Saccharomyces cerevisiae S288C: one gene and its partners. The main gene of each other region encodes a partner of the protein of the gene in region 3 in a complex. Each region holds a gene or a part of one and is shown on either strand. Other genes may lie near its edges. The genes, in order: SKI6, MTR3, RRP42 and RRP4. A codon is read from its position in the direction of its gene.

Evidence for each region.
Region 1: the proteins of RRP42 (region 3) and SKI6 are in contact, whole or in part, in a crystal structure (PDB 5OKZ), measured with the Saccharomyces cerevisiae proteins. Residues at the interface, in NP_010172.1 of Saccharomyces cerevisiae: Phe40 (codon at 3,018), Leu41 (codon at 3,015), Pro42 (codon at 3,012), Ser43 (codon at 3,009), Arg49 (codon at 2,991), Ile51 (codon at 2,985), Gly55 (codon at 2,973), Glu57 (codon at 2,967), Ile59 (codon at 2,961), Ser61 (codon at 2,955), Lys63 (codon at 2,949), Gln77 (codon at 2,907), Asp79 (codon at 2,901), Asp81 (codon at 2,895), Ala83 (codon at 2,889), Phe125 (codon at 2,763), Asp127 (codon at 2,757), Leu129 (codon at 2,751), Ile131 (codon at 2,745), Ser132 (codon at 2,742); in NP_011711.3 of Saccharomyces cerevisiae: Thr31 (codon at 2,540), His32 (codon at 2,537), His34 (codon at 2,531), Ala35 (codon at 2,528), Lys48 (codon at 2,489), Ile50 (codon at 2,483), Leu52 (codon at 2,477), Asn77 (codon at 2,402), Thr79 (codon at 2,396), Lys80 (codon at 2,393), Phe81 (codon at 2,390), Lys83 (codon at 2,384), Arg86 (codon at 2,375), Glu125 (codon at 2,258), His127 (codon at 2,252), Leu129 (codon at 2,246), Glu130 (codon at 2,243).
Region 2: the proteins of RRP42 (region 3) and MTR3 are in contact, whole or in part, in a cryo-EM structure (PDB 5G06), measured with the Saccharomyces cerevisiae proteins. Residues at the interface, in NP_010172.1 of Saccharomyces cerevisiae: Leu90 (codon at 2,868), Glu93 (codon at 2,859), Thr94 (codon at 2,856), Thr96 (codon at 2,850), Ser97 (codon at 2,847), Leu98 (codon at 2,844), Lys101 (codon at 2,835), Lys104 (codon at 2,826), Ser107 (codon at 2,817), Asn211 (codon at 2,505), Leu213 (codon at 2,499), Lys221 (codon at 2,475), Ile222 (codon at 2,472), Thr223 (codon at 2,469), Ser224 (codon at 2,466), Pro225 (codon at 2,463), Ile226 (codon at 2,460), Arg227 (codon at 2,457), Ser228 (codon at 2,454), Ala230 (codon at 2,448), Asn232 (codon at 2,442), Asp233 (codon at 2,439), Ser234 (codon at 2,436), Val236 (codon at 2,430), Lys237 (codon at 2,427), Ser238 (codon at 2,424), Phe239 (codon at 2,421), Lys240 (codon at 2,418), Pro241 (codon at 2,415), Leu244 (codon at 2,406); in NP_011674.3 of Saccharomyces cerevisiae: Gln90 (codon at 986), Thr107 (codon at 935), Asn108 (codon at 932), Glu109 (codon at 929), Lys111 (codon at 923), Glu112 (codon at 920), Ser115 (codon at 911), Phe116 (codon at 908), Gly119 (codon at 899), Asn122 (codon at 890), Ser123 (codon at 887), Ser163 (codon at 767), Ile165 (codon at 761), Ile204 (codon at 644), Glu208 (codon at 632), Glu209 (codon at 629), Ile210 (codon at 626), Val211 (codon at 623), Gly212 (codon at 620), Phe213 (codon at 617), Trp214 (codon at 614), Lys215 (codon at 611), Asp216 (codon at 608), Asp217 (codon at 605), Gly218 (codon at 602), Asp220 (codon at 596), Leu223 (codon at 587), Leu224 (codon at 584).
Region 4: the proteins of RRP42 (region 3) and RRP4 are in contact, whole or in part, in a cryo-EM structure (PDB 5G06), measured with the Saccharomyces cerevisiae proteins. Residues at the interface, in NP_010172.1 of Saccharomyces cerevisiae: Met1 (codon at 3,135), Ser2 (codon at 3,132), Leu3 (codon at 3,129), Ser4 (codon at 3,126), Val5 (codon at 3,123), Ala6 (codon at 3,120), Glu7 (codon at 3,117), Ser9 (codon at 3,111), Tyr10 (codon at 3,108), Leu11 (codon at 3,105), Asp13 (codon at 3,099), Ser14 (codon at 3,096), Ser17 (codon at 3,087), Pro19 (codon at 3,081), Ile21 (codon at 3,075), Arg22 (codon at 3,072), Pro23 (codon at 3,069), Asp24 (codon at 3,066), Gly25 (codon at 3,063), Arg26 (codon at 3,060), Leu27 (codon at 3,057), His29 (codon at 3,051), Gln30 (codon at 3,048), Phe31 (codon at 3,045), Arg32 (codon at 3,042), Pro33 (codon at 3,039), Ile34 (codon at 3,036), Glu35 (codon at 3,033), Ile36 (codon at 3,030), Phe37 (codon at 3,027); in NP_011936.1 of Saccharomyces cerevisiae: Ser2 (codon at 5,480), Val4 (codon at 5,474), Ile5 (codon at 5,471), Thr6 (codon at 5,468), Ile7 (codon at 5,465), Thr8 (codon at 5,462), Lys9 (codon at 5,459), Arg10 (codon at 5,456), Asn11 (codon at 5,453), Gly12 (codon at 5,450), Ala13 (codon at 5,447), Phe14 (codon at 5,444), Gln15 (codon at 5,441), Asn16 (codon at 5,438), Arg115 (codon at 5,141), Lys164 (codon at 4,994), Glu165 (codon at 4,991), Gly166 (codon at 4,988), Asp167 (codon at 4,985), Leu168 (codon at 4,982), Leu194 (codon at 4,904), Arg195 (codon at 4,901), Asn196 (codon at 4,898), Gly197 (codon at 4,895), Met198 (codon at 4,892), Phe199 (codon at 4,889), Trp232 (codon at 4,790), Asp283 (codon at 4,637), Asn285 (codon at 4,631), Ile289 (codon at 4,619).

Annotation. Positions count from the first base shown.
Region 1 is NC_001139.9:884,572-891,511, reverse strand, and holds SKI6 (exosome non-catalytic core subunit SKI6), read right to left. Parts: upstream 2,631-6,940; coding exon 1,890-2,630; downstream 1-1,889. Other genes in the region: FYV8 (Fyv8p), read left to right, coding at 1-1,779; XKS1 (xylulokinase), read left to right, coding at 3,637-5,439; PDX1 (Pdx1p), read left to right, coding at 5,771-6,940. UniProt on the Saccharomyces cerevisiae protein: Non-catalytic component of the RNA exosome complex which has 3'->5' exoribonuclease activity and participates in a multitude of cellular RNA processing and degradation events.
Region 2 is NC_001139.9:804,769-811,668, forward strand, and holds MTR3 (exosome non-catalytic core subunit MTR3), read right to left. Parts: upstream 1,254-6,900; coding exon 501-1,253; downstream 1-500. Other genes in the region: CHO2 (phosphatidylethanolamine N-methyltransferase), read left to right, coding at 1-281; NSR1 (Nsr1p), read right to left, coding at 1,644-2,888; RTS3 (Rts3p), read right to left, coding at 3,861-4,652; YGR161W-C (uncharacterized protein), read left to right, coding at 5,459-5,737.
Region 3 is NC_001136.10:260,976-267,869, forward strand, and holds RRP42 (exosome non-catalytic core subunit RRP42), read right to left. Parts: upstream 3,136-6,894; coding exon 2,338-3,135; downstream 1-2,337. Other genes in the region: TRM3 (tRNA (guanosine(18)-2'-O)-methyltransferase), read left to right, coding at 1-2,250; TMA17 (Tma17p), read right to left, coding at 3,537-3,989; YDL109C (putative lipase), read right to left, coding at 4,283-6,226; TFIIH complex serine/threonine-protein kinase subunit KIN28, read left to right, coding at 6,723-6,750, 6,832-6,894. UniProt on the Saccharomyces cerevisiae protein: Non-catalytic component of the RNA exosome complex which has 3'->5' exoribonuclease activity and participates in a multitude of cellular RNA processing and degradation events.
Region 4 is NC_001140.6:229,176-236,443, forward strand, and holds RRP4 (exosome non-catalytic core subunit RRP4), read right to left. Parts: upstream 5,484-7,268; coding exon 4,404-5,483; downstream 1-4,403. Other genes in the region: SSF1 (rRNA-binding ribosome biosynthesis protein), read left to right, coding at 160-1,521; hydroxyacyl-thioester dehydratase HTD2, read left to right, coding at 1,795-2,637; DYS1 (deoxyhypusine synthase), read left to right, coding at 2,958-4,121; TRM5 (tRNA (guanine) methyltransferase), read left to right, coding at 5,706-7,205. UniProt on the Saccharomyces cerevisiae protein: Non-catalytic component of the RNA exosome complex which has 3'->5' exoribonuclease activity and participates in a multitude of cellular RNA processing and degradation events.

The DNA of each region.
Region 1 (6,940 bases), on a different chromosome or scaffold from region 3:
AATACGCCAACAAGGAATGGAAATGAACATTTGAGTAGTGATGGCGATGTTTCTGAGCAGAAAGACGACGAGTTTAAAGTTTCCGAAAGAGGCTACCTTGCAGATATTCTGCCTGCGGAGAAAGAGGAGAATTTACAACAAGAAGATGATGGTGAAGTCGAGAGCTCAGGAGCTTTGGAAAAGAAAGAAAAAAGTGAAGAAAAGACTAGTATTAGGAATAGGAACTCTACATCTAGTGGGCAAGATAAAGTAGCAAAGCCGAAACCCGTAGCAAATGAAACAAAAACTAGTGATAATGGATATCGAAATTCTTTTTTCAATGATTATCAGCATTCGTCAGACTCTGAAGAAGATGATAACAACGAAGGCAACAGTGGTAGTAGTGATGATGATAATCGATCTTCGGTTAGTGATAAACATGCTGATATTAACCGGCAATCGAAACAACTTGATACAACTGACGATGATGCATTGTCGTATACCGAATCAATAAAATATTCGACAAATGAGACAGAAGAAGAAGATAATGAAGATAATGAATCCATAGAAGACAAAAACGAAGATAATGAATCCATAGAAGACGAAAATGAAGATACAGATAGCTATAAATTTTCTAATAGGGAAAAAGGTTCCATTCTACTTACGAGTGATGAAGAGGAGGAGGAAAAAGGTATGAGCTCTGATTCAGATGAAGGCAGTCTCAAGGCGCCCAAATCAGGTTATTTCTCCAAAATGATTGGTAATGATGATAAAGGTGATTCAGCATTGCAACCTAATCAAATAGACACCATTGAAAATACCAATTTGTCAAATAGCGGTTCTGAATTGGAAAACAGCGATGGCAGCGATGAGGAAGACCACATAAATGAAGACAAAGTTTTGGAAGAAAGTTCAGTTAAAGACTCCACTGATGTTGATTCTTGGAAGCCGGACAGTGAGGCCTTACGATCAGGGTTCGTACAGGATACAGCCAATAAGAAAGCGCCACCAGGTTACGTGATCGATTCTAACGGGAAGCTAGTAGATTTAACACCTGCTAGTATGAAACCACGTGTTGTATCGACTTATTCAGAGATGGAGAGTACTTGGGATGCATTCCCTTCCAAAGGCGAAGATGACGATTTGGAGACAATCAGGGACACTAAGACTATATACGACAACAATACGATTTATAATGTTCCCGGTTTGATTGGTAACCAATCGAATTTGCCACCTCTACCGATGGACGCACAGGAACAATTAAATGCAGGAAACGATAATAGTACAACAGATAATGATAATAGTAACAATACTGCCAATGATTTGGCAGCGCGCAGTGCATCTTTCAAAAGTGAAAACAGAACAGTATCTCAAGGCGAAATGACAAGCGTCCATGAACCCAGTACTGAAGAAATGGCGAAATTGGGGCAGCAGAATAACTTACCGAAATTAGATATGAATAAACTACTGAACAGTAAGACTTCGCACGCCGGTAAGATAGAACAGTTGAGAAATTATAAGCGTGAGCTAGATGAATATGATACGGGGATACAAACATGGATAAATTATACGCTAAAATCATCCTCTAATAAGGATAAGGATTTCATAGCTGAGGAGTATAAGCAGCATAGTCACGTTAGGGAAGCATATGCGAACGCGGACGATTTGAGTAAGAAGCATACTGTCATTAACACGGTTGCTAGTGTCAACCAAAATGTAACGCACTTAAGGAGAAAAGTTTTCCAGCATTCTATGAAACCAAAGGATTTATTCGCATCAATAGGTAAGAAAAAACTGTAAGCGTTTTGCTTTACGGTAGAAACACGAAAATGTAAATGCGTTCAATTTTCAATTTTACTGTTTTTTATGTACTTTTATATAAACAGTGGCAATTAATGGCGTTTTTTATTCTACCTAGCAGAGGCGTTACTGACTCTTTTCTGAGCATGTTTCCTCAGTTCTTCATCCATCAAATCTCTTACCCTATGAGCACCTGCGATGCCGATGGCAAGAACGTTCTCTAACCTATCTAACGGAATTTTGTCTTCCACCAATAAAAGAGAAAGTTTTTCTGACTTCCCTACCACACCTAGTGTCACTGTACTCATAGCATTTTCTTCTAATGAATTGGTATCTAATAATGGGGTAGTATCGTACAGCCCGACGGATATACCACTTATGTAATCGAACATTGATATACCGGCATCTATTAAAGCGAGGGTAATACCGTTGATTAAAGATCCCATAATACCGCCATCTTGCTCAAGGACATGGATCTCGATATCGATAACTGTTCTGGGGTAGATATTCAGCATGACATTCTTCTCAAACATCCTCACCAGGGAGGTTTGTATCTCAAGAACACGCCTTTCATTCTTGTGGCTTGATTTACTTCTTTCGAATTTGGAGAATTTTGTAATGTTTACCGATACGTTCAATAAAGCCTTTGAGGTATCCATTTGAGATTTCAATCTTGGCTCTTTTGGACCTTTAACAAGAGTGATAATTTTGTTGTTACCTTGTTCCATGTAGGATGAACCGTCTGCAGCGTGCGGATGTGTGTTGATGGAACTTTCAAAACGGCGGAGTTCATTCCATCGACGTCCATCGAGACGTAGCCCTTCTGGCGAGTATATTTCTAGTCTTGACATATGATGATCCTGCTGTAGTTATGGCACTAAAGTTTTTTTGTAAATCTTTTTATATGTTAATAGATTTTACCAGTGGGACCCTGGAAAGAAAATATGTGTAAATGATGTTTTCTTTTGGATGATGTTCATTGCACAATGGTTCGCAATGTCATTCATTCATCCATTTCTTCTAGCTTTTCAATTATTAATGCCTTAAAATTTTTCAATTTCACCGCGTTACCCGAAGATGTAAATGTACCTACTCAAATAAAAGGTTCCTTGCTGGTTGGCTTTCGTAGCTAAATTGAGTGCACGTTACAAGATTATAAATGCGTTTATATATATATATTCCAGTGAATGATCTACTTTTGCTTAAGCGGCAGAATTGCAAATCTTAATTTTTCTTTTTTGTTTATGTTTTATTTCCTTGTGACAAATAAAATTTTTTTCTCTTCTGAATTTTTAAAACTAAAGAACAAAATATTAAAATAAACAAACAATTCTCCACTTTTTCTTCTTTTGGTATAGAAACTGATAGAAATGTCCTAGACCCTTAATAAGCAAAACACTCATCATTATAACGGGAAAAAATTTGAAGCAAGCTCAAAAGAGATATATATATCATCCAGCATAGACTACTATTAATTTCTATCATAATTGCAATAAAAAAGGAAATATTTAGGGGATCAAGACCATTATTCCATCAGAATGGAAAAAAGTTTAAAAGATCACGGAGATTTTGTTCTTCTGAGCTTCTGCTGTCCTTGAAAACAAATTATTCCGCTGGCCGCCCCAAACAAAAACAACCCCGATTTAATAACATTGTCACAGTATTAGAAATTTTCTTTTTACAAATTACCATTTCCAGCTTACTACTTCCTATAATCCTCAATCTTCAGCAAGCGACGCAGGGAATAGCCGCTGAGGTGCATAACTGTCACTTTTCAATTCGGCCAATGCAATCTCAGGCGGACGAATAAGGGGGCCCTCTCGAGAAAAACAAAAGGAGGATGAGATTAGTACTTTAATGTTGTGTTCAGTAATTCAGAGACAGACAAGAGAGGTTTCCAACACAATGTCTTTAGACTCATACTATCTTGGGTTTGATCTTTCGACCCAACAACTGAAATGTCTCGCCATTAACCAGGACCTAAAAATTGTCCATTCAGAAACAGTGGAATTTGAAAAGGATCTTCCGCATTATCACACAAAGAAGGGTGTCTATATACACGGCGACACTATCGAATGTCCCGTAGCCATGTGGTTAGAGGCTCTAGATCTGGTTCTCTCGAAATATCGCGAGGCTAAATTTCCATTGAACAAAGTTATGGCCGTCTCAGGGTCCTGCCAGCAGCACGGGTCTGTCTACTGGTCCTCCCAAGCCGAATCTCTGTTAGAGCAATTGAATAAGAAACCGGAAAAAGATTTATTGCACTACGTGAGCTCTGTAGCATTTGCAAGGCAAACCGCCCCCAATTGGCAAGACCACAGTACTGCAAAGCAATGTCAAGAGTTTGAAGAGTGCATAGGTGGGCCTGAAAAAATGGCTCAATTAACAGGGTCCAGAGCCCATTTTAGATTTACTGGTCCTCAAATTCTGAAAATTGCACAATTAGAACCAGAAGCTTACGAAAAAACAAAGACCATTTCTTTAGTGTCTAATTTTTTGACTTCTATCTTAGTGGGCCATCTTGTTGAATTAGAGGAGGCAGATGCCTGTGGTATGAACCTTTATGATATACGTGAAAGAAAATTCAGTGATGAGCTACTACATCTAATTGATAGTTCTTCTAAGGATAAAACTATCAGACAAAAATTAATGAGAGCACCCATGAAAAATTTGATAGCGGGTACCATCTGTAAATATTTTATTGAGAAGTACGGTTTCAATACAAACTGCAAGGTCTCTCCCATGACTGGGGATAATTTAGCCACTATATGTTCTTTACCCCTGCGGAAGAATGACGTTCTCGTTTCCCTAGGAACAAGTACTACAGTTCTTCTGGTCACCGATAAGTATCACCCCTCTCCGAACTATCATCTTTTCATTCATCCAACTCTGCCAAACCATTATATGGGTATGATTTGTTATTGTAATGGTTCTTTGGCAAGGGAGAGGATAAGAGACGAGTTAAACAAAGAACGGGAAAATAATTATGAGAAGACTAACGATTGGACTCTTTTTAATCAAGCTGTGCTAGATGACTCAGAAAGTAGTGAAAATGAATTAGGTGTATATTTTCCTCTGGGGGAGATCGTTCCTAGCGTAAAAGCCATAAACAAAAGGGTTATCTTCAATCCAAAAACGGGTATGATTGAAAGAGAGGTGGCCAAGTTCAAAGACAAGAGGCACGATGCCAAAAATATTGTAGAATCACAGGCTTTAAGTTGCAGGGTAAGAATATCTCCCCTGCTTTCGGATTCAAACGCAAGCTCACAACAGAGACTGAACGAAGATACAATCGTGAAGTTTGATTACGATGAATCTCCGCTGCGGGACTACCTAAATAAAAGGCCAGAAAGGACTTTTTTTGTAGGTGGGGCTTCTAAAAACGATGCTATTGTGAAGAAGTTTGCTCAAGTCATTGGTGCTACAAAGGGTAATTTTAGGCTAGAAACACCAAACTCATGTGCCCTTGGTGGTTGTTATAAGGCCATGTGGTCATTGTTATATGACTCTAATAAAATTGCAGTTCCTTTTGATAAATTTCTGAATGACAATTTTCCATGGCATGTAATGGAAAGCATATCCGATGTGGATAATGAAAATTGGGATCGCTATAATTCCAAGATTGTCCCCTTAAGCGAACTGGAAAAGACTCTCATCTAAAATATGTTTGAATAATTTATCATGCCCTGACAAGTACACACAAACACAGACACATAATATACATACATATATATATATCACCGTTATTATGCGTGCACATGACAATGCCCTTGTATGTTTCGTATACTGTAGCAAGTAGTCATCATTTTGTTCCCCGTTCGGAAAATGACAAAAAGTAAAATCAATAAATGAAGAGTAAAAAACAATTTATGAAAGGGTGAGCGACCAGCAACGAGAGAGACAAATCAAATTAGCGCTTTCCAGTGAGAATATAAGAGAGCATTGAAAGAGCTAGGTTATTGTTAAATCATCTCGAGGGAAAAATTCAAAAATGCTAAGTGCAATTTCCAAAGTCTCCACTTTAAAATCATGTACAAGATATTTAACCAAATGCAACTATCATGCATCAGCTAAATTACTTGCTGTAAAGACATTTTCAATGCCTGCAATGTCTCCTACTATGGAGAAAGGGGGGATTGTGTCTTGGAAATATAAAGTTGGCGAACCATTCAGCGCGGGCGATGTGATATTAGAAGTGGAAACAGATAAATCTCAAATTGATGTGGAAGCACTGGACGATGGTAAACTAGCTAAGATCCTGAAAGATGAAGGCTCTAAAGATGTTGATGTTGGTGAACCTATTGCTTATATTGCTGATGTTGATGATGATTTAGCTACTATAAAGTTACCCCAAGAGGCCAACACCGCAAATGCGAAATCTATTGAAATTAAGAAGCCATCCGCAGATAGTACTGAAGCAACACAACAACATTTAAAAAAAGCCACAGTTACACCAATAAAAACCGTTGACGGCAGCCAAGCCAATCTTGAACAGACGCTATTACCATCCGTGTCATTACTACTGGCTGAGAACAATATATCCAAACAAAAGGCTTTGAAGGAAATTGCGCCATCTGGTTCCAACGGTAGACTATTAAAGGGTGATGTGCTAGCATACCTAGGGAAAATACCACAAGATTCGGTTAACAAGGTAACAGAATTTATCAAGAAGAACGAACGTCTCGATTTATCGAACATTAAACCTATACAGCTCAAACCAAAAATAGCCGAGCAAGCTCAAACAAAAGCTGCCGACAAGCCAAAGATTACTCCTGTAGAATTTGAAGAGCAATTAGTGTTCCATGCTCCCGCCTCTATTCCGTTTGACAAACTGAGTGAATCATTGAACTCTTTCATGAAAGAAGCTTACCAGTTCTCACACGGAACACCACTAATGGACACAAATTCGAAATACTTTGACCCTATTTTCGAGGACCTTGTCACCTTGAGCCCAAGAGAGCCAAGATTTAAATTTTCCTATGACTTGATGCAAATTCCCAAAGCTAATAACATGCAAGACACGTACGGTCAAGAAGACATATTTGACCTCTTAACAGGTTCAGACGCGACTGCCTCATCAGTAAGACCCGTTGAAAAGAACTTACCTGAAAAAAACGAATATATACTAGCGTTGAATGTTAGCGTCAACAACAAGAAGTTT
Region 2 (6,900 bases), on a different chromosome or scaffold from region 3:
CTACACCATTTGAAATTTCATTGCCGGTACTAAATACCACGACACCTGAACTGTTTGAGAAGGATTTGACTGAGTTTTTGACGAAAGTCAACGTTTTGAAGGATGGTAAATTTCGTCCATTAGGAAATAAGTTCTTCGGGATGGACAGCTTGAAACAATTGATTAAGAACTCAATTGGCGTCGAACTTTCGTCTGAGTATATGAGGAGAGTCAATGGTGACGCTCACGTTATTTCGCATCGCGCTTGGGATATAAAACAAACGCTTGATAGTCTTGCTTGAGTTTTTTTTTTTTGAGTATATATATTTAAAAAGTACTAGGATTCAAGTTAACATTTTGAATAGAAGTAGTTATGTTGTTGTAATATAATGGAGCTACCATATATGCAGAATGACATTATAAATTATGATGTTGATGTACAATGCCTTTGTGCGCTTCTTTTACCATGAATTTTTTCTTAACCTCTTTCACTTTTCTTTCCGACTAGGATAATCTCGTGTCTAAGTTTCCTGGTTCATTAAACAGCTTATCATTAAATCTCTATAACGGTTATATTGCTCCTTGCAACGATCAAGGCATTCCAAAAGATCTTCATCGTCACCATCATCCTTCCAAAAACCTACAATTTCCTCTCCATTTTTGATGAATGATACGACAGTGCCATTGGCCTCACCGGCACCTGCCATATCCACTAATTCGATGCCGGCATCAGCTAAGGCTAGCGTTATACTAGTGATACAATGTGGTATGAGAGATGATATTTGAGAAGACATCATTTTGCTTTGCGAATCGTCGTCCTGAGGATTATTTGTAAGATCCTTATCATACGTTAAATAAACGAAGATATCGATGCCGGACTTGGGGTAGCGAGATAGGTTTACTACTGAATTGAAAATGCCCATTAAAAAGCTGCTAACTTCCTTCAGTTCATTTGTGTTATATTTTTCCAGAAGACCGTTCTTTAACTGAATAGATATAGTACCTTGAGATGTGAAGGATCCTCTAATGGAGCGTGGTCCATAGACAGCGGTAATGAGCGATGTTTGGTGTCCTAAGCTTCTAGCTTCTACTAATGCAGATCCATTGCAGTTTTCGATGAAACCGGTATGTAGAGAAAGTTCCTGTTCACTTTCATTGCCTTTAGGTGTCAAATCTGTTGATTTCTTTTCTGGCACATGAGTAGTAGTGTTGCTAAACGCCATTGGCTTGGCAGCAGCAGGGCCTAATAACCTCCTTCTGTCTTGAACATTCATTTATTCTGATAACACCTTAATGTGAGTATGTTCCTACTTTTAAGTGGAGTATGTGCTAATCCTTAAAGGAAGTTTTCGTGGCTCAATCAAGCACAACGCCCAAGCTTTTATTTAGATATTCATTTCATATTACTGAAATTTTTTGAGTATTTTCCAAGGCCTTGTAATCTTCCGTATCTAGCGATCTCATCTCATCGTGAAAAAAAAAAGAGTAAGCCATTCGAAGAAAAGTTGGCAAATAGAGATGGTGAATGAAAGGTTTAAGAATGTATCCTATTTACTTACTAATGTACACAAAATATTATAGACCAAATTTTTCCTCAAAAATGGAATATAGTAATTAACGTAAAAAGAGAAAAAATTGAAATTGAAATTCATTTCATTTTCTCATTAATCAAATGTTTTCTTTGAACCAGCGAAAGAAGCGGTATTTCTTGATCTGCCCAATGGAGCAGTATTAGCACCAGAACCAGATGGTCTGAAACCGCCACGGCCACCGCGAGCGCCACCACGACCACCGAATCCACGGTTACCGCCACGACCACCGCCACGACCACCAAAACCACGGCTACCGCCACGACCACCATCGTTGTTTGGTCTTGGAGAAGAGAAGTCTAATCTAACTGGTCTGTTGTCAATGTATTCACCTTGTAAAGCGTCTAGAGCCTTCTTGGCGTCCTCCATGTTGGAGAATTGAACATAACCGAAACCTTTTGGTTGTTCAGTTTCTGGATGTGTTGGGATACGGACGGAAACAACTTCACCGTGTTTAGCGAATAATTCGAAAATAGCGTCTCTGTCAGCATTGAAAGATAAGTTACCCAAGAACAAAGTGTCAGATGGTTCAGATGGGGTATCACCGAATTTCTTGGCACGATCGTTGTTACCAGCTGGCTTGCTTGTGGACATATCACAGTTGATTGGTCTACCATCAATTTCCTTACCTTGCATTTCTTGAATGGCCTTTTCAGCATAAGATTTGTTTTCAAAATCAACGTAACCATAACCACGAGATCTATCGGTACCTCTTTCATAAATAACTCTGGCACCAATGACACCACCGATGTGTTCGAATTCCTTCTTCAACCATTCGTCATCAATAGACCACGATAGTCTACCAACGAAAATAGTAGCTGGTTCTTCGGTTTCTTCATTTTTTTGCTTCTTGTTGGAAGACTCTTCGTCTTCTTCTTCTTCGGCGTCCTCAGATTTACGTTTCTTATCGTTAGACTCTTCCTTTTCGCTTTCGCTATCAGAAGATGAAGATGAGGATGAATCAGAGCTAGAAGATTCTTTTGATTCTTCCTTCTTGGTTTCTTCTTTTTCTTCTTCTTCTTCTTCGTCGGAAGAAGAGTCAGAGGAAGAGGAAGAGGAATCCTTGGATTCTTCCTTCTTGGTTTCAGCTTCACTTTCGCTGTCAGAAGACGATGAAGAAGAGGATTCAGAATCAGAGGATGAAGATGAAGATGAAGATTCAGATTCAGACTCAGACTCAGATTCAGATTCAGATGAAGATGAAGATGAGGATGAAGATTCGGAGGAAGAGGAAGAGACGGCCTTAGCTTTTTCTTCTTTGGCTTGTTTGGAAGCCTTAACTTCCTTCTTGTTACCTTTTACTTTAGTAGTCTTAGCCATCTTATTTTATCCTGCCTGGGTTGAGTGATCCGAAATTGGTTAACAGTTCGTCTTTGGGAAGCAAAAGTAAGAAAAATACTACGAAAGGAAATAACTTAAGGTACCAATGGATTGGGAAGTGCAGACAGCAACAGCTACACTTAAGTACTTTTAATATTGGATTGAAAATTTTCGTTCTTGCGATGAGCTGCCCTTGCAAATTTTTCACCAAAAAAAAAAAAAAAAAAAGAAATGGAGTGAAAAAAGAAACGAAAAAAAAGGGCATGGGGACCCATACATCAGGCACTTACCCCCAGGAAGGATTACGTCTTTAAATCAGAGGATCAAAGGGTAATTAACAACCACCAGTCGAATTGCTGTCGTCTTTCTTCAATTGCTTTATCCAAAAATCTGAATGGATGTAAGTATTGCCCAGTAAGTTTTCTTGGCAAAATAACCTATAGCGAAATAGACAATCAACGTGATGGGGTTTAAATAGCTAGCGGTAAGTAACCACTAGTAGAACGTAGCTCCATAGCGTGTAATTTGGCGGCAAAATATGTGAAGCAAGCATATTCGTTATTACTTAGCTGCCTGTGAAATCCTGTCTGTGCCTTCTCTTTGCCTTTACTTTGTATAAAAACATATCAACACTGTCTCTGCGTATGAGGCCGAGGTATTTAGAGCATAAGAAAAAATGTGAACAAAAATAGTGTCATCTCCAGTAAGGCTTAAATGTATATTGATTTTCTATATATATATATATATATATATATATTTATGAAATAAACCATATAATTATAAGTAGTAGCTTGGAAAAACGCCAAAGTTGTACTTAGAATGAGGTTTTAAAAAAAAATTATAAAAAAAAACCAAGCGAGAAGTCACGCTTATAACGCAAGTGCACGAACTGCATATGTGTTGGATTGCCAAAGATCAATAGGAAGAATATATTTAGAGAAACTCTGTTTTCTTATGTATCTCGCTTACAGCCTATTTCAATGAACCAGTTTGGAATCTCTTTGCCATGAGATCAGCCTTTAAAGAGTTTGAGCCATCGAGACTGTAATTGGAAGAACGCCTTCTCCTGTCATGAAGAAGAGCACCGGATTCGGTTAAATCGCTAGACGAAATGCCGCTTAGAGAACGTGGAAGAAGAGTGTGATGTGGAAGATCGGCGGAGGGAAGGTTTCTGTTTGTTGTTGGTGCTGAGTGGATTTTAGTCTCAATGGGGAAAATCGTGTCTGAGATGCTTGTTCCGTTAGATATGGAAGCGTTCCGGCTTGACCTTCTGGCGGAATGGGAAATGTGGGTCATGGAGTCCTTGGGTGTTAAGGGAAGTACGGTGTGTCTGGATGCACCATCTGTGAGCTTTAGCTTTGGAGTGTCGAGGGTGTAACCATAATTGCAGTCATCATCATCTAGGATGGCAGACTCGCCTTCGAAAAATGGAGACGACCTTCTAGCCGGGACCGGATGGTGCAGTTGATTTTTTAACCTAGAGTTTTCTTCTTTTAAAGTTTCAATTTCCCGTAGAAGTCTTACTACAATAGCGTCTTGCTCCTTTTCCATTTCGTTTATTATTTCTTCCCTCGAAAGCCTTCTCTGTGCTGACATTGGTGACGAAGAAGGAGACGACGACGTCGAAAGTCTGCGAGGATCACGTGCTACAGCTGGTCTCATGGCTCTTGTAACTGAAGTTTGTCTCTCTCTGCATGGTTTGGCAACAGCCTTCTTGTGTTTTGATTCTTTATTCATGTTTACGGCTCTGGAGGTAGCGATCATTATACTTTATCTTCTATTAATGCTATGATTGATGAATTATACGTATGTATGTATCTGTAAGAAAATAGCCGAATGATTGATTATCTTTTCTTATATATGATTCAAGGGAACGAAAAGAAGACAAGATAATGTTAGGCAAGATAGTTTTTTAGACGACTGAGGCCGAAGATAAGCTTTATATATATGCAAGTCTATTTTTGTACGGGCGAAACCATCTAAGCCAACGATAACAATAGCCAGCTATGATCGTTGAGTACAGCGTGGGGCAATTTTTAGCGTGATTGATAAGGGCGCATTATCTCATCATCCATCGCCAATTTGGGACTCTAACGGCAAACCTCGGATTTCCGTGGAAACGCATGGAAAAATTGATCCGGGCTGTGAGGGGAGTCGAGTCAGTCACTTTTTGGCAACTCTCTCCGTCATGACCACTACTCCGCGGTAGCTGCCAAATTTGGTATTTCCAGGTTGTTTTTTGTGGACAGCCCGCGATCATATGTAAGAGCAGGATGTGTCATCCGCGGGTGAGGTAAACGCTGGCTTGCCATTATGGTTTTTTGGTACGTGTTGAACACGTTGCTTACGATCTTGGTAGGGGCGGGCTGTGATGTGAGAGCCACAAACCCGCTTCCTCGTTGTGGCTCTGGCGCTCCGTTTCTTCTTTCCCCCGCCTTGTAATATGTCGTGCATGCGTCCATGATGATATCGTATTTATTGTATATTGTGGTGATTTCGGCATATTTTAGCACATCTGTAGTATACCACAGAGCTAAAACAACCGATTATAGTCAACATTATACAGCATTATGTCTGGATACTTCAACCATCTTTCTTCGAATGCACATTTCGCAAATATTCAAGCCGATCAGGGCTTCATAGGTGATGCTACTGGCACAAGCAGCGATCATGGCAGTAGTGGCATGGTTGATTTTGCCCTACAACTCGGAGAACTGAGCCTAGAAGAGAAAATACTTAAAGAGTTCACCTTATTCCAGAGCAAGAACATGGACTTATTGCAAGAGACGGCGACGGCGTGTCCGAGTACTAATCCTTCCTTGAGACAGAGCCGAATTCAAGGCTGGTGAACGCCTGATGCGAGCTATACGTTTTGTGCTCACCGTGCACATATGGTGGCTACTTTTCTACTCAAACACGTTTGAAAAACGGCATACGATTAGCTTACAGATTGAACTCAAAGAAGTCGCAATGGGAGGTGCAGAAGATGACGTGTTACTTAGTTTATAATACAATGTGTTTTATATATCGATTCTTCGTTTATGCATTTCTGGACGATTGCTTTTCACTGTAAATACGCACTAATATTCATGAATATAAAAAAATGTAACATCATATCTCAATGTTCTTCTCCGTCAGTCAGATAGTGGCAAGGCTGTGATAGGACATTCTTAGAACGCCAAGAAAATCAAAAATTTGAACGGTATCTAAATTCATTTGTCGAACCCTTGAAGAAACTCACAGAGCGGGGTATCTACTATTTTGTTTTCGTTCTTTTGAATCTCCGCTACGTCACATTTTCTACAACCCTCAGGTCCCCTCACCACGAAAATCCAAGATTTGTAAAATATGAGCCGCGTATTTCTGCAATGGTAGAAACGATAATGTACCTATCGTACAACGATACATTATTTTAGTGCATTATAAGCCGCTTGATTCATGTTGATAATTAGCGGCTAAATTGTAGTAGTCATTCAAAATAATCGTACACCTTCATATAGTTATGAAAGGGGTATAAAAGATGAACGCTCGTTGGCCATGTCAAAGGTGCCTTAAAAATAACAATGCTTGCGGTAGTACGTGTGCAAAGTGTATATTCGCATGAGAGGTGATCGGAAATTGCTTTATCGCCCCACTAATTCTGATTCTTATTCAAATATTTATGTCACGTAGCGAGCTTACTTATCCATATATCAAAGGAAATCCAGATATAAACTCAAACTAATTCTTCTGTTTCCACGTAACTAGCATTCACATTGTAGTTTTCTAGATTACAGCAATTTATATATATTGTTGGAATAAAAATCAACTATCATCTACTAACTAGTATTTACGTTACTAGTATATTATCATATACGGTGTTAGAAGATGACGCAAATGATGAGAAATAGTCATCTAAATTAGTGGAAGCTGAAACGCAAGGATTGATAATGTAATAGGATCAATGAATATTAACATATAAAATGATGATAATAATATTTATAGAATTGTGTAGAATTGCAGATTCCCTTTT
Region 3 (6,894 bases):
CAGAAGACTTATGAATGTAGGTTCGATACAATCGAGCTAAATTTTAATGACCTTCTGAGCCTATATGAAATGGTTAAAAAGTCTGCCAATCAGTGTTCAAGAGAGAGCTTTAAAGTGAAGGACAGCGCTTATTCTTCTTACTTTGAACTTTTAAATACCTTCCTGAAAACATACGCCTTAAATCGTGACTCTTCTGAAGGAAATGATGATGAGCTTCACATACTACTACGCTTAGTTGACGAGAATATTAACAAAGATAATGGGAATTATCTGGGGAACCTGGCAGTCTGTAAATTATTGTACTTTATCATAGATTCCTACATCCATTGCTCCACATCTGTTTCTGATGATGATATTTTCATAGTGAAATTCATTTTTGAGAAATTTTCGTTTATATGGGAATGTATTAATAGTGAAAGATTAGTTTTGAAGGAAAGGGATCTGCATTTGATGCTAATTAAGGGATTATTTCATCCTGTGATCCTGTACTTTGGATCAAATCAGTATATCGATACTTTGACCTCGAAGTTGGAGGAACATGCACAAACGATTATATCATTGAGTTATTCCAGAAGAAGCCTACTCCCTCTTCTCGGATCACAACTCAGAGTATTTATGAAGTTTTATGGGAAATTGTTAAGAGAAGATGTCAACTATTGGTGGTTGATTAACATTATAGTAGGTGTTTTCAAACAGCCGCAAATGGATGTCAACCTTTACAAGCTCAAACCTGTTATTTCCAGCCTATTTGACCACAAACTGAACAATTATTACATAAAAGGCGATGAACTTTATGAAAAGGTGTACGGACCCGACGAAATATTGGCTAGAGTATCTATTATTGATTCTATTTTATATGCAAATGATCAGTTGAAAATTCGATTAATCGAAAAAGTTACTGAAAAAACAAACGCACTTTATGCTATAAAGAGAACCGACGGTGCCGAAGCGTTACAGAGGTTGTTGCAGTGGCAATTGTTATTATTATCACTACTAACCACCAATGAAAAAAAATTAAGCGAAACTAGCATGATCAGAATTCTAAAGAGTATCGAGGATGAAAGTTCACCACTAGTAAGAGTATATAAAGAATGGTTCATTTCCTCAAAGGTTGTTGATTATTATAAAACTGGCAATCCAAAATTTGCTGAGGATTATCTCTTCTCATTGCTGGAGGATCATAGCAAACCGGTGTTTGTAGTTAGCGCAGAAAAAATATGCTTTATGGTGTTGAAAGATTTAAGAAACGACGAAAAGAAATATGGATTTACACAGTTACTAGACAGATTCATTTGCACGTTAGTTCCTAACGCAGCTTCAAACAAACCTCTGGTAAGGCATTTTTCTAATTCTCTAATAATTTCATTATGGCCTACATTCAAAGCCTACCTATCGGATCACACACTGAGAAACATCATTGAGAACTTATATTCCAATGCCAAAAAGACTCAAATATTTGGTCAATATCGTGCCGGGGATGCCAACATATGGGATCTGAAGGGTGATAGGAAATTAACGAACATGTTTGGTGGTGTGCTCAAAAAAGTTACCGACCATGATTGCCCGTACATTTCTGAGTCTGTTTTCGAAAAATATTTGCAGGAGAAAGATATTGTTCCTATAGGTACCGATGAAAGGTCCTTATGGCTTGATAAAAGAGACACCAATACGGAATCTGTTAACAACGCGAACATCTCCTGTGACACTTCTCCACTGCAAACAAAAAGTGGAGCTTGGGAAACCGTTCTGGATCTGGACAATAAAAAATCGAATGATGTCGTTACACGTTCTGAATTGATTGTGGTATCTTCATTAGTTGATAAGCCGCCAAACCTGGGAGGTATTTGTAGGTTATGTGATGTTTTAGGTGTGGGACTGCTTACTGTACAAGACATCAAAGTCAAAAACCATCCTCAATTTAAAAATGTTGCTGTGACTGCTGATAGATGGATGCCCATGGAGGAAGTTGCCCTAGATGAGATTGCAAGTTTCATGAAAGAGAAAAAGAAGGAAGGGTACACATTAATTGGGCTAGAGCAAACGGATAAATCAGTGAAGCTAGACAACAATTTCCAATTCCCTAAAAAATCATTGATCTTGCTAGGAACCGAAGCATTCGGTATTCCGGGGACTTTGTTAAGCGAATTGGATTTATGTTTAGAGATTCAACAATTTGGTGTGATCAGATCAATGAATATTCAAACGGCAACCGCAGTTATCGTTCATTCCTATACAGTTCAACACATGTAAGAATCAGGTTTCATTCCCACTTTTGTTAACCATGAAGTTTTTAGTATGTAAACTAATTTGTCTTTTTATCTAATTGTGACTATATTTTTATAAATTCTCCAGTGATCGTACTACGTCGGGGGCGTATTTCTCCACCATTGCAAGACCTTGCTTCAACAAATGAGGTTTAAAGCTTTTAACGTTTGAATCATTCAATGCTACTGATCTGATAGGTGATGTAATCTTACCATTAGACCAGGAAATGATTAGGCCATTATTGGCCACTTCGCTTTCGTTGGCTGCAGGGTCCAATAGCATATTGTTGCCTACAACGGCCAATATAAACACTAAAGGCGGATTAATGTCAAGCTTAACCATGTCGTAATCATGAAACGTAGGAAGTTCTTCCACCTCTAAGTCGTCAAAAGCTGAAATAAGTTTCGGTAGGTATGTGGAGTTCAACGCTGAATAAATAGCAAAGGATATTAAAGAAACTGGGTGTGAATGTGATGAAATGACCAGAACATCGACAAATATTTTGAAGCTGTACTTTTTTGTCAATTGCAACTTTGAGGAATCTACTCCGCTACCAGACTTCAAAACCTTGTTCAGTAAAGAAGTGATTGTCTCTACTACCAGCGCGTCATCTCTTTGGCCTGCGATATCTACATCGACCTGAAGTAGTTCATTCTCCACATGATGATCCACAACTTTGGACTTAATGCTCACGATACATTCACTTCCATCACTAGCTATAATTCTGGACGATCCATTGGAACTTGGTAGGAAGTCAGTAAATATTTCTATAGGTCTGAATTGATGAGGTAGTCTTCCATCGGGCCTAATTGAAGGCGTGCTTGCTAGTGAATCGTATAGGTACGACTTTTCGGCGACCGAAAGAGACATAAATGATTATTTCAACAGAATCTCAAACTGTCGTTGTGCTAGTCAAAAAGAATGCCTTTTGCCGTCTACAGACTATTAGTATCATTGTACTCCTTCACCATATAAGCTCTACGTTTCTTTTTTCTGAATATTAGAAAAAAATTTCGCCAACTAGGGTTCAAAATAATAGACTAGGGCACGGAAGAAAAGCACACCCTAGGGCTTTCGGAGATAAATTATTAATAGCGAGTTTTTTTTGTATTTACTTATTTTATTATTTCTTTAAGATATCTAGTAGTAAGGATAGAACGGGTAGATAGAATAGACAAATGGAGTTATTGAAATATTTATACGAAGAGATAGAACAGAGAGACAAAGAGTATGACGTGAAAATGATGCGCAGTAAAACTAAATCCCGTCTCTTAAATGAATATGCTGTTTGGTGTCACGACGTCCACATTTGAATTGTCCATGTCAACGTCAGGGCCCTTGTTGGTGTTGTCCTTTGCCTCTACCTCGTGCTTACTCTTGCCATGGCCCGTCTTTCTATATACCGTTTCTTGCTCCAATGCGTCCACTCTCTCATTGTAATTGTTTAGCACAATTTCGTTCTCCCTGACAGAGTCCTTGTACAGCGCCAGGTCTCCCGAATCAATGTTCTCCAAGTCGTCGCTGTCGTCAGCTTCAAGACGGTCGTCAGCACCCTCCAACTTAGCTATGTATTTACCCAAGCGGGCGTTAGACCTCTGCAAATGATTGATACTGTTCTCAATTTCTGTTTTAATCTGTGCCAACTCCATGTCGGACATGCCGCTTATCGCCGTCTTAAATTCTTCGATCTGGATTGGTCTTCTGATACCGCCTGCTGAGCACATTATGTTACTTGTAGTAGTTATTATGTTTTGATTTGCTTTATGTTTTATAAAGATCTTACCCCTCTTTTTGTCAAGAGAAATAAGCTTCTGAAGTATTGTTTTCCTGGTGAAAAGTGTCTTATTTATATGGAGAAGGGATATTCGGCCTCGGTTTTAGGGGAGGAGCTGAAGAGTTGTCCCGCTCGAAAAAGACCCGTAAGCGCATTTATCGAACTACGAAGTAAAATGGACTTTCGTAGGTGTGGACAATAGTAAATTGCAAGTCAATCCCGGGATGACGTCAAGATAGACAGTCAATCTGTCACAGAGGAATGCTTGCTAATCCAGGAGCTGGCGAGCTGGCTAGCTGTGGAGACTATTCCACCATGGTACACACTAGGATCCTCGATCTTGGTGAGCCATGAGTAGAACTTGTTTGGTTCCACCCCTCCGGTTGCCATGTTTATATCTTCCTCAGCAAACTGTTTATCTTGCATTGGTGAGGCGATTGGGTCATCTCTTTGGAAATGGGCGGTAACAAGGTGGTCAACCACCGGCCAGCCGTAAGCGTTGGAAAACCTTCTTCTTACGATGATGTTATTGTGGGCATCTGGTTTCAGCAATACCACGACTTTCCTCCAATGCATCCCCTTGTGCCAGCGGCGTGCTATGATTTCCTCCATCTCTTTTCTCGTCTTCCTCGTTTCGCCTTCCTTGGCTGCTGTTCCTTCATAAAGTGTTGGTGATGGAGGCGGTAAATTCTTTTCTGTGTAGATCTTATCATGTATGATTGTTGCGACCCTTGCATCGGGATCTGAGAAGAACTTTGCGTCGGGGCATGGTGATAGAAGCACAGACTTCATAGATTTGATGACGGAAGCATTCATCAAGCGTTTAGATTTCTTGTCGCAGTTATTTTCCTTGCTCTTCCAAAACGTGTTCCATGACGATGCATTGATTCCATCATCATCATTAGCAACATCGCTATGATTTGGAAGTTCCCCAATAGGACTTACTTCAGGCTGGAAGAGAGGATCACAAGGTGCCGTAGTTTGACCTCCCAGTTTCTGAAGTAATTGAGAGTAGTCCAAAAAAAGTAAAGAAGAGGAGTACAAGGGAACTATTCCGTCGTTGACGGCATTAGCATAAAGTGTTCTTCTTTTGAATCGAGCAAGCACACTGATTAAGGATTCCTCGGATAGCAGGTAAAGTAGGGGCTTATCACCATAATTTCCATCCTTAAGACCCAGTTCTTGCCCCGTAGTACCAATGATACCCATCGACAATGACATTTTTACGTAATTGGGCGTGCTGGTAGCAATGCCTAGCAATGGTGACGCCAGTGAGATAAAATTGATTGGCTCCACTTTCTTAAAGAAATATGGATATTTGGTCTTTATGTAACAAATAGCAAAAGTTTGTGTTAATCCACCCAGGGAATGACCAATAAATGAAATTTTCCCAACAGAGTCATCATATAACTCGTCGATGATGTAGTTTGCCAATCCAACACCCAAAAACTTAATACCCTTCTCAGTCTCACAAGCATTCTTCATATATCCCTTAATAACTAGTCGCTCATTTGGATTGTTCATTTGAGCCTTGTATATTTCTTCCATTAAGTATTCCATATCTGCCGAAACGTTTGATTGAAAACCATGCGTGAGAATGACTAAATGGGATTTTTGCGACATGTCTATGGGTCGTGGTACTTTCCATATATCTGCGGTGGTAAGTCTATGCACCGATAATCCTGTGTGTAAAATATTGCAGGCTTTATCAGGCAATGAATCATTACATCGTATTTTTCTTTTCAAAGAGGCCTTTGAATTGCCGACTACTATCTCAAAAGTTACCTTAGTTTCTTTATTAAATAGTATTTGACTGACAATATCCACTATCCATACATAGCGTGGCTTAATGTGGTGCAAGGACAACTCTGCAATAAACTTTTGTTGTGCCTGTAGGTTTGATTGAAATACTGGTTTATCCGCCGAACATATGATCTTATACGAGCTTTCGTAATCTTTTGCTCGCACGTCACAATATAAGATAAATGGGCCCAATAGATAGGCTGGTTTATAGGATAGCTTTGTGGTATTTTTGATCTTTACCCATAGGGAATCCAGTGTGATATCAGCGGGAATACTATCACCCTGGTATAGCTCATATGTAATAACGTATCTTTCTAACTCACCTAACTTTACTGACGACTGATTGTGGTATAGCACTTCATCAGCACTCCTGCCAGCTTCCATATTACTACCGTTTCCCCGATGTTTTTGGGTGAATAAGGTCAGGTGAGCATTTTTTGTACTGATATTTTTTCTCTTTGTTTGCAGACACAACGCTTGCTGTTAATACGCTAAAAACATACCACACTACCTTGAACAAATCCTCCAAGAGAAATTTGTAAGAATTCAGAAGCGGTTTCAGGGGAAGTCGGCTTAGTTGTCAATTGTAATTGAAAATCACCCTCTAATTTGAAAGATTTTCAGTTTCAATAAGACATCAATCTTGCCAGTTTGTAATTTTTTGGTATATAGAAATGGTCTTCAAGCATAAGCCTTAAGAAAGATTCGTCCATTGGATGAACCTACAATTTTTTTTGTGTTATGATGTGAAGCTTCATTTGAAGCATTGTGCAGAGAATATTACAAGTAGATTCAAAAAACACATTGAAAAAAAATACAAGTGAAATCACAGTTACTTAAAAGTCATCAAAAAAAATATTCCCGGCCTCAGAGCGAACATATGAAAGTGAATATGGAGTACACAAAGGGTATGTGGGGGTTATATATTGTCGTCTTTCTTTTAACATTCAATAATGATACTAACGTTGATTAATGATGATTCATCGCAGAAAAGAAAGTTGGTGAGGGTACTTATGCGGTTGTTTACTTGGGTTGTCAACACTCTACTGGAA
Region 4 (7,268 bases), on a different chromosome or scaffold from region 3:
AGACGAAATTGAAATTTTTCACTGAAAAAAAAAAAAAAAAAAAAGTAGACGAAGAAGCTCATCTCATCGCGATATTAGTTCGATATCTGGGTTTGAGTGAGTAGTATGTTTAATAATAAAAGAGTATAATCCAGATATAGCAGACAATAAAATTTCAAGATGGCCAAGAGAAGACAAAAGAAAAGAACACATGCACAGCTTACACCTGAGCAGGAACAAGGTATACCTAAGTCAATGGTAATCAGAGTGGGTCAAACTTCTTTGGCCAACCATTCTCTGAACCAATTAGTAAAGGACTTCCGCCAAATCATGCAACCACATACGGCTATAAAATTGAAAGAGCGCAAGTCCAATAAACTGAAGGATTTCGTTGTTATGTGTGGCCCATTAGGTGTTACGCATCTTTTTATGTTCACTCAATCTGAAAAAACAGGAAATGTCTCCCTAAAGATAGCTAGAACTCCGCAAGGTCCTACTGTTACTTTTCAAGTATTGGACTATTCTCTGGGTAGAGATATCAAAAAATTTTTGAAGAGACCTAAATCGTTGAATAATGATGATGTATTAAATCCTCCATTGCTAGTGCTAAACGGGTTTTCCACATCCAAAAGATCTGGTGAAGACGACCAGGATGTAAACGTGGAGAAGGTCATTGTTTCTATGTTTCAGAATATTTTCCCACCTCTGAATCCTGCGAGAACTTCTTTGAATTCTATCAAACGTGTATTTATGATCAATAAAGACAGGGAAACAGGGGAAATTTCTATGCGCCACTATTTTATTGACATTCGAGAAGTAGAGATCTCTAGAAACCTAAAAAGGCTTTATAAAGCCAAAAATAATCTAAGTAAAACAGTGCCGAATTTGCATCGAAAAGAAGATATTTCTTCTTTGATATTAGATCACGACTTAGGCGCCTATACATCAGAATCTGAAATTGAAGATGACGCTATCGTGAGAGTAGTTGATAATCAGGACGTGAAGGCAAAGCATTCTCAAAGTTTGAAGTCCCAAAGAACACCGGTCGAAAAGAAGGATAATAAAGAGCGTGAAAAAGAAACAGAAGAAGAAGATGTGGAAATGGAGGAACCTAAGCCTTCAGAAAACTTGCAACCAACCCCACGTAAGAAAGCTATCAAACTAACTGAATTAGGACCAAGATTAACTTTAAAACTGGTCAAGATAGAAGAAGGTATTTGTTCAGGTAAAGTGTTACATCATGAATTTGTTCAAAAATCAAGCGAAGAAATCAAAGCTTTAGAAAAGAGACACGCTGCAAAAATGAGGCTGAAGGAACAAAGAAAGAAGGAACAAGAAGAAAACATTGCTAAAAAGAAGGCTGTTAAAGACGCTAAAAAGCAACGTAAATTGGAAAGAAGAAAAGCTAGAGCAGCAGAAGGAGGTGAAGGTCAAGGAAAAGATGATGCGATGAGCGATGATGAGTCTTCATCAAGTGACAGCGAACATTATGGTAGCGTACCAGAGGATCTAGATAGTGACTTATTTAGTGAGGTCGAATAAATTGTTCTCCGGTACCAAGAAAATTTTAGTTAAGCCTGGCTATCCACCAACGCACGTATACTTCTTCACTTTAGATAAATTGCATACTTGATACATATAAACTCTTTGTCTTTTAAATCATAGCCCAAAGGAAACGTAGATCTCAGAAGGCATGTGAAAAAAAATTCGATCTTACCTTTTTTACGCCATTTTAAGCTACTGTTTCGATACATGAGCGTGGCTGGTACATTGAAGGTGGGCAATCGTCCACTTATCTAAAGACAGCTTATCAGCATGAAATCCAAAACGTGGATTTTCAGGGATGTCTTATCTAGTCACCGAACCAAAGCGTTTGATAGTTTACTTTGTAGGAGACTCCCTGTATCAAAGGCAACGAAGCATCTTCAACTGGGAGAACATTTCCTGTTCTTCCCACCATCATTCGAAAAATTGGATAGAGATGGTTATTTTAACTATCAAAATCCTGCAAGTTTGCTAGGAAACCCTGATTTACGCTACCGTAGAAGGATTTGGGGACAAGGAGAGCTTGTTCAGTATTTACCAGTCACCTTAGACCAGGAGTATACATGCCACGAATCAATCAAATACGTAAAAAAAATACGAGATGAACATGTTGTCTGTATTGAAAGAACCCTTTTACAAGAAAGGCCCGAAAATGTGTCGAGTCCAATGGACATTTGCTTATTCGAGAGAAGGGTATTAATGTACACCAATTCACCCGCAAACAAGACTGCAGTCAAGATGCCCGTAGGAGAGGAGAACTATAAGATCTTAAAAAATTTTACTGTTACTGATATGGATATTGTAGCTTATGGTCAGATGTCTTTGAATCCGCACCGAATTCATTGGGACAAAGAGTACAGTCGCTATGTTGAAGGCTACGACGATATTATCATGCAAGGACCCTTCTCGGTCCAATTACTACAGAAATGCATCCAACCTTTTCTCGAACAACCAATCAGACAGTTGCGATACCGCAATTTGAATTATATATATCCAAACACTACTTTGAGCATATGTCAGTCTTTAAGCTCTTCGAGCGGAATGTACACATTTCAAATTAGGGACCTCCAGAAAGCCAACTTAGTCTACATGAAAGCTGATGTTTTCTGTTGACTACCAGTAATTGTCTCTCTGCAGATAATCACTACCTGTGTGTTTCTTGTCTCTTGAAATAATACTAGTAGCTGCTGAACAGTGGAAGGTCACGAACGAGATTACCATAATATCTCGCCATCACCAGGTTGACGGTAAACGCATTACGGGAAGAACTGAAAAAAAGGTGGGAAAAAAAAATAAAAAGTAAAGTGAAAAATTAAATGTAATGTATATTTCCATTTTGACGCAAAGTACTTCCCTCTATCAGTTTTGTATCTAACTGCAGAGTAAAGTCGTGTTTTGCTTAGTTAACTTATATACAAGTCAAAGCAAAAAAGATGTCCGATATCAACGAAAAACTCCCAGAGTTACTACAAGACGCTGTCTTGAAAGCATCTGTTCCTATTCCAGATGACTTCGTTAAGGTTCAAGGTATTGATTACTCAAAGCCTGAAGCCACTAATATGAGAGCAACTGATTTAATTGAAGCTATGAAGACCATGGGTTTCCAAGCTAGTTCTGTTGGTACTGCCTGTGAGATTATTGATAGTATGAGATCATGGAGAGGTAAGCATATTGACGAATTGGATGACCATGAAAAGAAAGGTTGCTTCGATGAGGAAGGGTACCAAAAGACTACTATCTTCATGGGTTATACTTCTAACTTGATCAGTTCCGGTGTACGTGAAACTTTACGTTATTTGGTGCAACACAAAATGGTTGATGCTGTCGTTACTTCTGCTGGTGGTGTGGAAGAAGATTTGATCAAATGTCTTGCTCCAACTTACTTGGGTGAATTTGCTTTGAAAGGTAAATCTTTGCGTGACCAAGGTATGAATCGTATTGGTAACTTGCTTGTTCCAAATGATAACTACTGTAAGTTTGAAGAATGGATTGTCCCAATTTTGGATAAGATGTTGGAAGAACAAGATGAATACGTAAAGAAACATGGCGCTGACTGTTTAGAGGCTAACCAAGACGTGGATTCACCAATCTGGACCCCATCTAAGATGATAGATCGTTTTGGTAAGGAAATCAACGACGAATCCTCCGTATTGTACTGGGCCCACAAGAATAAAATTCCAATCTTTTGTCCATCTTTGACTGATGGTTCAATCGGTGACATGTTGTTTTTCCATACTTTTAAAGCATCTCCAAAACAACTAAGAGTTGACATTGTAGGAGATATCCGCAAAATCAATTCAATGTCCATGGCCGCTTACAGAGCCGGTATGATCATCTTGGGTGGTGGTTTGATCAAGCACCACATTGCCAATGCTTGTTTGATGAGAAATGGTGCTGATTATGCCGTTTACATTAACACTGGTCAAGAATACGATGGTTCTGATGCAGGTGCAAGACCTGACGAAGCTGTGTCTTGGGGTAAGATCAAGGCTGAAGCCAAATCCGTCAAACTTTTTGCTGATGTCACCACTGTTCTTCCATTGATTGTTGCTGCTACCTTTGCCAGTGGTAAACCAATCAAAAAAGTTAAGAATTGATGAGAGAATTTTGAGATGAAAAAAAAAAAAATGAATCTGTACTATTTCTTTTTTTAGTGCAAAAGTTTTGTTTTAATATAGAGATAAATAAAAAAATGAACATATTACTATAATATCAACAAAATATGATGTAATGTCTGCAATAAAGATGAGTCAATTGCATTTCTATACGTACTAATCGTGTGTACATAGCCATGACATTATGTAAGTTTATACACATAAATTGCGTTGGAGTCTGCTGTGTAGTTTATAAATGTGTAAACAGCGGCTTTTGTATTCCTATTAGTTGCCGTTACCTCTCATTTTTTCGGCGGTAAGAATGTCACTGCCTATGGATTCCATTACATTTTTCTCAATCAGTTCACCTACGTTTGAATAAACCATACTAGCTTCGTAAGCACTTACTATACGTTGTTGAGTAATGCCTATTTCACAGAACGCTAACGCTTTGATCACGTTCGCATACCGGCAAATTGCTTGTCGTATGTTGTTCGATATGGAAGGATCGTTTTCATCCGAATATATTTGCCATGAAGACTCTTCTTCCAGTCTTGTTATGGAGGGATTTAATGATACCGCACCAGTGGGTCCAGTTGATTTAATTGAGGAACTGTTATTTGCAGACGGCGTATCCCTCGCTAAGTCCATCTGAGATGTTTTCCTTAACCATATGTAACCATTGACTCCGAGAACTACGGTTATGTTGCCGGGCAAATTATGAGTATGGTTCTTGGCTCTCACTATTAATGAACTCGGGACTTGGCAAAACATCCCGTTTCTTAACTTCCCGTACTTTAGAGACCTTGTATGTAAAGAGGCACTACCATCTTGAAATAATGATTGAACTTCTGCATTCAGGAGGTCACCTTCCTTAAGGAAGCTTCTCATTTGTAGTTCATCACTTTCAGATTTTCTTCTTAGAATACCACCCGGTAAATTCACAGAGCCCAACATAAGTACTGCATGTTGCTTACCGCCAATGTCTACTTTCCATCTCTTGTTACCCACTTCAGCAATTCTCCCTACGACGTGATCACCAGTTTCTGGGGCATAACGACCTTTCAATGGAATTACCGATAGCAGCCTATTGACACGGGATACAGTACCAGCAACAGAGGAATACGTCATATTATCAAGAAAATACGTACCGTGACCTCTCATCCAGATAGGGTCATCAGTGACCAGCTCACCTGGCGTCACAATTTGAGAATCAGACTCACTTTTAGAAGCTGAGTTAACATCGTGCATGTAGATATCTTCTTCATCATTTTCATCATCTGATATCCCTGTGTTGTTATAGGACAGGTTAGATGAATTTTGGAAGGCACCGTTCCGCTTGGTAATTGTGATAACTTCGGACATATCTGTTTACGCTTGTGTGACTACGCAAAGATTTAGAATGCAAGCAGTACTTAAGGAAGGATATTTTTCTTCTACTTTTGTTTTAGTTTTCTTAATTTTTTTTTTTTTTTCACCTCATCGCTCAATCCATACTGAGGAAGAAAAAGAAAAAAAAAGATTCACTGAGGATATTTGAACAAACCAGTTTAAACCATAAGTAAAGGTAAGGATATTTTTCATTGCATGAAAATCGCACTGCCAGTATTCCAAAAATTTAATAGATTGATCAGTTCGTGCAAGATGTCAGGAGTGTTCCCATACAACCCACCCGTGAATCGCCAAATGCGAGAATTGGATAGGTCATTTTTCATCACCAAGATACCAATGTGTGCAGTCAAGTTCCCCGAACCCAAAAATATCAGTGTGTTTTCTAAAAACTTCAAAAATTGCATCTTGAGGGTGCCCCGTATCCCGCACGTTGTTAAGTTAAACTCATCCAAGCCAAAGGACGAACTGACAAGTGTACAGAACAAGAAACTAAAGACTGCAGATGGCAATAATACCCCAGTCACGAAAGGTGTGCTGCTACACGAATCCATCCACAGCGTGGAGGATGCGTATGGAAAATTGCCTGAGGACGCCTTGGCGTTTCTTAAGGAAAACAGTGCGGAAATTGTACCACACGAATACGTGCTCGATTATGATTTCTGGAAAGCTGAGGAGATTCTTCGAGCCGTGCTGCCCGAGCAATTCCTGGAAGAGGTTCCAACGGGTTTTACAATCACAGGCCACATTGCCCACTTGAACTTGCGCACCGAGTTCAAACCATTCGACTCGCTCATCGGACAAGTCATCCTTGACAAGAACAACAAAATCGAATGTGTCGTGGACAAAGTCAGCTCCATTGCCACACAGTTCAGGACTTTTCCTATGAAAGTCATTGCTGGGAAAAGCGATAGTCTAGTGGTAGAGCAGAAGGAATCCAACTGCACTTTCAAATTCGACTTTAGCAAGGTGTACTGGAACTCCCGATTGCACACAGAGCATGAAAGACTCGTCAAACAGTACTTCCAGCCTGGCCAAGTAGTCTGTGATGTTTTCGCCGGCGTGGGGCCCTTTGCTGTACCTGCGGGCAAGAAGGATGTCATCGTTTTGGCTAACGACTTGAATCCTGAGAGTTACAAATACTTGAAGGAGAACATCGCATTGAACAAAGTGGCCAAGACCGTCAAATCCTTCAACATGGATGGCGCTGACTTCATCCGCCAGTCGCCACAGTTATTACAACAGTGGATTCAAGATGAAGAGGGCGGCAAGATCACGATCCCTCTGCCTTTGAAGAAACGACACAGATCCCAGCAACACAATGACCAACAACCGCCACAACCACGCACCAAAGAGCTGATCATTCCGTCACATATTAGCCACTATGTCATGAATCTACCAGACAGCGCCATTTCTTTCTTAGGAAACTTCCGTGGCATCTTTGCAGCACACACTAAAGGCGCCACTGATACCATCCAAATGCCATGGGTGCACGTGCACTGTTTTGAGAAGTACCCGCCTGGCGACCAAGTCACTGAGGACGAGTTGCATGCACGCGTTCATGCCCGTATTATTGCCGCGCTCAAGGTCACTGCAGACGATCTTCCGTTGAATGCCGTTTCGTTGCATTTGGTGCGCAAAGTTGCACCCACCAAACCGATGTATTGCGCGAGTTTCCAACTTCCAGCTAACGTATGAAGCGATCTGCTCTTGCAGTTTGCCGTGGGAGGAAAAAGGCAAAAAGGCGACCATTAGAAAAAG